Saccharomyces cerevisiae S288C: one gene and its partner. The gene in region 2 interacts genetically with the main gene of each other region. Each region holds a gene or a part of one and is shown on either strand. Other genes may lie near its edges.

Region 1 (3,720 bases), on a different chromosome or scaffold from region 2:
GTGTATTCGTATGCGCAGAATGTGGGAATGCCAATTATAGGGGTGCCGGGGTGCCTTGAAAAACCCTTTTACGCGCGCCTGTGAAGTTTCCGCTTTCGGTCAAAAAGAATATCCGAATTTTAGATTTGGACCCTCGTTCAGAAGCTTATTGTCTAAGCCTAAATTCAGTCTGCTTTAAACGGCTTCCGCGGAAGAAATATTTCCATCTCTTGAATTCGTACAACATTAAACGTGTGTTGGGAGTCGTATACTGTTAGGGTCTGCAAATATGTAAACTCTCGGCGAATGCCTTGGTGCAATTACGTAATTGTAGCCGCTGAAGGCGGATGGTATTGAGAGAAGTTGATGTTCAAAGTATCGTGTATGATAAAAATAGAATTGTAACCAGTTCGTAGTAGCAGTATTAAAACTTTGATTCCGAGATGTAATCCCTCTTTTCTAGCCAGATATGAAGGAAAAAAGTGTAAGGGTAGTTGAGAGCGCTACTTTATTTTATTCTATTTTAAAAATGTTCTCTAGGAGAGGTGTATTAATAGTTGGTACTCCATGTAGCTTCTAAGTCAAAAGAAATGTCTCTATCTTTATGGTAACGGTTCATCGTTAGAGCTCAATTGTGCTTCTTGGATGTATTTCCAAAGTCCCACGTTTAATAACCCACACAACATAAATGTCCTTGAATATAAAAAATTTCGAAAGCTCCCCGTAAAGAATGCTTGATAATCAGCTCCATCAAAGAAATACTTTTTGTTCTTCCAAACTTTTCCTCTCAGCAAATACATATTTATTTCCTTTGCAACCACTTTCTAGAGAATTCATAATAGTTGATAAAAAAGGCATTTTGTCTTCTATGTTCATAATTTCAATTCTTGAATTTTGGAAATCGTGAAATGTTTCGAGAAACCGCCTTCAATAATTAGAAAACAAAATAAAAGATTACAGTTAGGCCACTCAAAAATACAATTCAGATAAGAAAGGTGCGATAGTGGGGAATAAGAATTGGAAATCCGCTTGATAATCAGGGAAAACTTAAAGAACGGGGTGTTAAAAGTCTGTGAAGTATAGATCAAACTCGCACTAGCTAGCAATACTCATGAGAACCTAGGTGAGTGTAAAGCAGTGAACCTTCTTTAGAAAGCAGAGAAAAATCCTCCAAGTTAACAGTCTTCCATACTTACTCAGTATGGATCAAGTTCCACAGTTTGTCCACTTCTGTAGAATAAACTTGTAGTGCTTTTCCGATGAAAAGGGATAGAGTCTTTAAAAGACTTGATCTTGGCATTTTTATCCTCCTTCAAGCAGAATGGCTCCAGTAGAGTTGTTCTGAACGCTTCTGGGCAGTGAGCAGCATTGAAGAAAAAGTACTCAGCATTCCAAGCTTTGTCTTCATATAATTATAAATTAAAACTCATAGCCACCAATTTCCAGGTTTTGGTCGCAATATGCTGCAGAATCAATGGCTTGTTTCGTTACTATACTGGTCCGACGGAGTTTACTTTACTCTAAATTTGCTGAAATAGCAAGGCCACACGCCATACAATTAACAATAGTTCATTCAGTTGAAAGGTTTCCGAGATAGAAAGTGCGGTAGTAGAGAAGAACAATAAACGTATCAAACTTTGCGCAGTCATGGAATTTCCAGGAAACATTTTTAGGTTTTCATATGACAGCAGTTCCTGTCCGAGAGCTGTGCCTTTCTTGTCTCAGCTGACTAAGATGTCTCGGATCCGCCCGGCTGGCGCGCGGCTCCGTCTAGTGGGATAGGCTTTCAACACATAGGAAACCCTTCAGATGATGAGAACACATCGAATCCCAGAGAGTAATATCACCAAGAATAAAGCAACCATGATAGACAATATTACTAAGTGTTCCTCAACAGATATTGAGAAAAGTTCTTATAAAGCGGGCAGGCTTTTTTCTATTTTTTTCTTTTTCTTTATCTAGCTTAAGATCCTTCTAACCATATTCTATAAAATGGCAAGCTGAATACAGATTATCAACGACAATTACATATAACCTACAAACAGGCAAGTTGCAATTCCAGAAACCATGAAGGCTGTCGTCATTGAAGACGGTAAAGCGGTTGTCAAAGAGGGCGTTCCCATTCCTGAATTGGAAGAAGGATTCGTATTGATTAAGACACTCGCTGTTGCTGGTAACCCGACTGATTGGGCACACATTGACTACAAGGTCGGGCCTCAAGGATCTATTCTGGGATGTGACGCTGCCGGCCAAATTGTCAAATTGGGCCCAGCCGTCGATCCTAAAGACTTTTCTATTGGTGATTATATTTATGGGTTCATTCACGGATCTTCCGTAAGGTTTCCTTCCAATGGTGCTTTTGCTGAATATTCTGCTATTTCAACTGTGGTTGCCTACAAATCACCCAATGAACTCAAATTTTTGGGTGAAGATGTTCTACCTGCCGGCCCTGTCAGGTCTTTGGAAGGGGCAGCCACTATCCCAGTGTCACTGACCACAGCTGGCTTGGTGTTGACCTATAACTTGGGCTTGAACCTGAAGTGGGAGCCATCAACCCCACAAAGAAACGGCCCCATCTTATTATGGGGCGGTGCAACTGCAGTAGGTCAGTCGCTCATCCAATTAGCCAATAAATTGAATGGCTTCACCAAGATCATTGTTGTGGCTTCTCGGAAACACGAAAAACTGTTGAAAGAATATGGTGCTGATCAACTATTTGATTACCATGATATTGACGTGGTAGAACAAATTAAACACAAGTACAACAATATCTCGTATTTAGTCGACTGTGTCGCGAATCAAAATACGCTTCAACAAGTGTACAAATGTGCGGCCGATAAACAGGATGCTACCGTTGTCGAATTAACTAATTTGACAGAAGAAAACGTCAAAAAGGAGAATAGGAGGCAAAATGTCACTATTGACAGAACAAGACTGTATTCAATAGGCGGCCATGAAGTACCATTTGGTGGCATTACTTTCCCTGCTGACCCAGAAGCCAGGAGAGCTGCCACCGAATTCGTCAAGTTCATCAATCCAAAGATTAGTGATGGGCAAATTCACCATATTCCAGCAAGGGTCTATAAGAACGGGCTTTACGATGTTCCTCGTATCCTGGAAGACATTAAAATCGGTAAGAACTCTGGTGAAAAACTAGTTGCCGTATTAAACTAGATGACGAACAGATATTATTTTTCTTTTGTATACACAGTTATTACGTATGTTAGAGTGACTTGGTTTTTTTTTTTTTAATGAAATTGTTTGTTATTGATCACGCCTTGTAGGGGAAACAGATGAGAACAGTGAAAATCATAACTCATTATGTGATTTGTTGTGCGTCACCCTTCCATGATTATATATCCTTACTATCTACTATCCAACTACTACATATCTATTGAACTCATATGTACCAAGCACATAAAATTATGCACCTATTTCCATTGGCAAAGACTTGGCGAAATTTAATACACTGTAATAATATCCGGCGAAGCTCTTTAAGAATTCTTACCTATAATAGCGGCTCGCTGTCCGAACGATTGCGCCGCACTTTTCTGCCTCTTACATTCCCTTTTCCTAAGGCGATAAGCAGGCTGAATGGAAACTACGATATAACGCAGTAGAGGTCCCCCAAGAGCTGGAAAGAAAATATTGGTTTGATAGCCAGCACTATTCTATCCAGTGGGCTCTTGTACCATTTTCTGTGGTATGGCTTTGATTCAACTGCATACGTAGTTAACGCGA
Region 2 (3,627 bases):
ACGGATCTAACACACAAGCTATGATTGATAATATGCGCGGAAAGTCAAGAAGTAAAAAAACTGAGAACCTGCACCAATCTTTAACTGGCTGCCTTAACGACTACTCAAATGCGTTTGGAAAAGACAGGTCAAAGTTATTAGACTTATCCAACACGCTAAAGAAATATCCCATGTTGGGTCTTGCTGGGGGACTAGAAACGTTTCCCAAGATAGTCAGAAATGCTTTGAACGAATTTAAAAACGTCAAAATAGTTACTGGGAACCCGGTTACGCAAATAATGAAACGCCCTGCTAACGAAACGACAATCGGATTGAAAGCGAAATCTGGCGACCAATACGAAACATTTGACCATTTAAGACTTACGATAACACCTCCCAAAATCGCTAAATTGCTACCGAAGGATCAAAATTCATTATCCAAGTTATTAGATGAGATACAATCAAACACAATAATTTTAGTTAATTATTATTTGCCAAACAAAGATGTAATAGATGCCGATCTACAAGGCTTTGGATACTTGGTTCCCAAATCCAATAAGAATCCAGGGAAATTGCTTGGTGTAATTTTCGATTCTGTTATCGAAAGGAATTTCAAACCACTTTTTGACAAACTCTCCACAAACCCAAACGCCCTCAACAAATATACAAAAGTGACTGCGATGATAGGAGGTTGTATGCTCAATGAACACGGTGTTCCTGTAGTGCCATCCAGGGAGGTAACCATTAATGCAGTCAAAGATGCGCTGAACAACCACCTCGGCATCAGTAACAAGGATCTGGAAGCTGGTCAGTGGGAATTCACTATCGCCGATAGATGTCTGCCAAGATTTCATGTAGGTTATGACGCATGGCAAGAAAGAGCTGAAAGGAAGTTGCAAGAATCTTACGGCCAAACAGTTTCTGTGGGGGGAATGGGATTTTCTAGAAGTCCCGGTGTCCCTGACGTTATTGTAGACGGCTTTAACGACGCCTTACAGCTAAGCAAATAAGTACGTATATATATGGTTAGCTTTACGCAAACTACTTCTTTTGACAATTGAGGCAGTTATCAGCTAATAAGAAAAAGTAGTTAGTATCAAAAGACACAATTTATTTATATTAACCAAATTTTTCAGAACATCCTCCGGACCGTCAGTCTTTAACGCCGAGCCGCCGATGATGGGTTGGAGTCAAAACGAGGGAACTCAATATTAATTGCGGAGTTGAGCGATGATGGGTTGGAACTATATAAAGCATCGGAAACGCATGGCTAAGGGAAGTGGAAGAATGCAGGTTACAAAAAACGGATAAGAACAAACTTGTTTCGAAATATGGCCGCTCCAGATTATGCACTTACCGATTTAATTGAATCGGATCCTCGTTTCGAAAGTTTGAAGACAAGATTAGCCGGTTACACCAAAGGCTCTGATGAATATATTGAAGAGCTATACTCTCAATTACCACTGACCAGCTATCCCAGGTACAAAACATTTTTAAAGAAACAGGCGGTTGCCATTTCGAATCCGGATAATGAAGCTGGTTTTAGCTCGATTTATAGGAGTTCTCTTTCTTCTGAAAATCTAGTGAGCTGTGTGGATAAAAACTTAAGAACTGCATACGATCACTTCATGTTTTCTGCAAGGAGATGGCCTCAACGTGACTGTTTAGGTTCAAGGCCAATTGATAAAGCCACAGGCACCTGGGAGGAAACATTCCGTTTCGAGTCGTACTCCACGGTATCTAAAAGATGTCATAATATCGGAAGTGGTATATTGTCTTTGGTAAACACGAAAAGGAAACGTCCTTTGGAAGCCAATGATTTTGTTGTTGCTATCTTATCACACAACAACCCTGAATGGATCCTAACAGATTTGGCCTGTCAGGCCTATTCTCTAACTAACACGGCTTTGTACGAAACATTAGGTCCAAACACCTCCGAGTACATATTGAATTTAACCGAGGCCCCCATTCTGATTTTTGCAAAATCAAATATGTATCATGTATTGAAGATGGTGCCTGATATGAAATTTGTTAATACTTTGGTTTGTATGGATGAATTAACTCATGACGAGCTCCGTATGCTAAATGAATCGTTGCTACCCGTTAAGTGCAACTCTCTCAATGAAAAAATCACATTTTTTTCATTGGAGCAGGTAGAACAAGTTGGTTGCTTTAACAAAATTCCTGCAATTCCACCTACCCCAGATTCCTTGTATACTATTTCGTTTACTTCTGGTACTACAGGTTTACCTAAAGGTGTGGAAATGTCTCACAGAAACATTGCGTCTGGGATAGCATTTGCTTTTTCTACCTTCAGAATACCGCCAGATAAAAGAAACCAACAGTTATATGATATGTGTTTTTTGCCATTGGCTCATATTTTTGAAAGAATGGTTATTGCGTATGATCTAGCCATCGGGTTTGGAATAGGCTTCTTACATAAACCAGACCCAACTGTATTGGTAGAGGATTTGAAGATTTTGAAACCTTACGCGGTTGCCCTGGTTCCTAGAATATTAACACGGTTTGAAGCCGGTATAAAAAACGCTTTGGATAAATCGACTGTCCAGAGGAACGTAGCAAATACTATATTGGATTCTAAATCGGCCAGATTTACCGCAAGAGGTGGTCCAGATAAATCGATTATGAATTTTCTAGTTTATCATCGCGTATTGATTGATAAAATCAGAGACTCTTTAGGTTTGTCCAATAACTCGTTTATAATTACCGGATCAGCTCCCATATCTAAAGATACCTTACTATTTTTAAGAAGTGCCTTGGATATTGGTATAAGACAGGGCTACGGCTTAACTGAAACTTTTGCTGGTGTCTGTTTAAGCGAACCGTTTGAAAAAGATGTCGGATCTTGTGGTGCCATAGGTATTTCTGCAGAATGTAGATTGAAGTCTGTTCCAGAAATGGGTTACCATGCCGACAAGGATTTAAAAGGTGAACTGCAAATTCGTGGCCCACAGGTTTTTGAAAGATATTTTAAAAATCCGAATGAAACTTCAAAAGCCGTTGACCAAGATGGTTGGTTTTCCACGGGAGATGTTGCATTTATCGATGGAAAAGGTCGCATCAGCGTCATTGATCGAGTCAAGAACTTTTTCAAGCTAGCACATGGTGAATATATTGCTCCAGAGAAAATCGAAAATATTTATTTATCATCATGCCCCTATATCACGCAAATATTTGTCTTTGGAGATCCTTTAAAGACATTTTTAGTTGGCATCGTTGGTGTTGATGTTGATGCAGCGCAACCGATTTTAGCTGCAAAGCACCCAGAGGTGAAAACGTGGACTAAGGAAGTGCTAGTAGAAAACTTAAATCGTAATAAAAAGCTAAGGAAGGAATTTTTAAACAAAATTAATAAATGCACCGATGGGCTACAAGGATTCGAAAAATTGCATAACATCAAAGTCGGACTTGAGCCTTTAACTCTCGAGGATGATGTTGTGACGCCAACTTTTAAAATAAAGCGTGCCAAAGCATCAAAATTCTTCAAAGATACATTAGACCAACTATACGCCGAAGGTTCACTAGTCAAGACAGAAAAGCTTTAGGTACTTATGACGATTTGGAACACATTCAAACTAGAAAAAACTTTGATGTAGGATATCCCTATGCACATCCATACGGTATACA

Evidence for each region. Genes that interact genetically often act in the same process or in processes that back each other up.
Region 1: mutations in BUD25 (region 2) and YCR102C together harm fitness more than expected from each alone (negative genetic interaction), as found in Saccharomyces cerevisiae (one large-scale study listed by BioGRID).

Annotation. Positions count from the first base shown.
Region 1 is NC_001135.5:303,794-307,513, reverse strand, and holds YCR102C (uncharacterized protein), read left to right. Parts: upstream 1-2,046; coding exon 2,047-3,153; downstream 3,154-3,720.
Region 2 is NC_001137.3:183,231-186,857, forward strand, and holds BUD25 (Bud25p), read right to left. Parts: upstream 1,471-3,627; coding exon 1,448-1,470; coding exon of another isoform or gene 1,311-1,447; intron 990-1,310; coding exon of another isoform or gene 940-989; coding exon 501-939; downstream 1-500. Other genes in the region: HEM14 (oxygen-dependent protoporphyrinogen oxidase), read left to right, coding at 1-989; medium-chain fatty acid-CoA ligase FAA2, read left to right, coding at 1,311-3,545. UniProt on the Saccharomyces cerevisiae protein: Involved in bud site selection. Required for resistance to the DNA-damaging agent methyl methanesulfonate (MMS).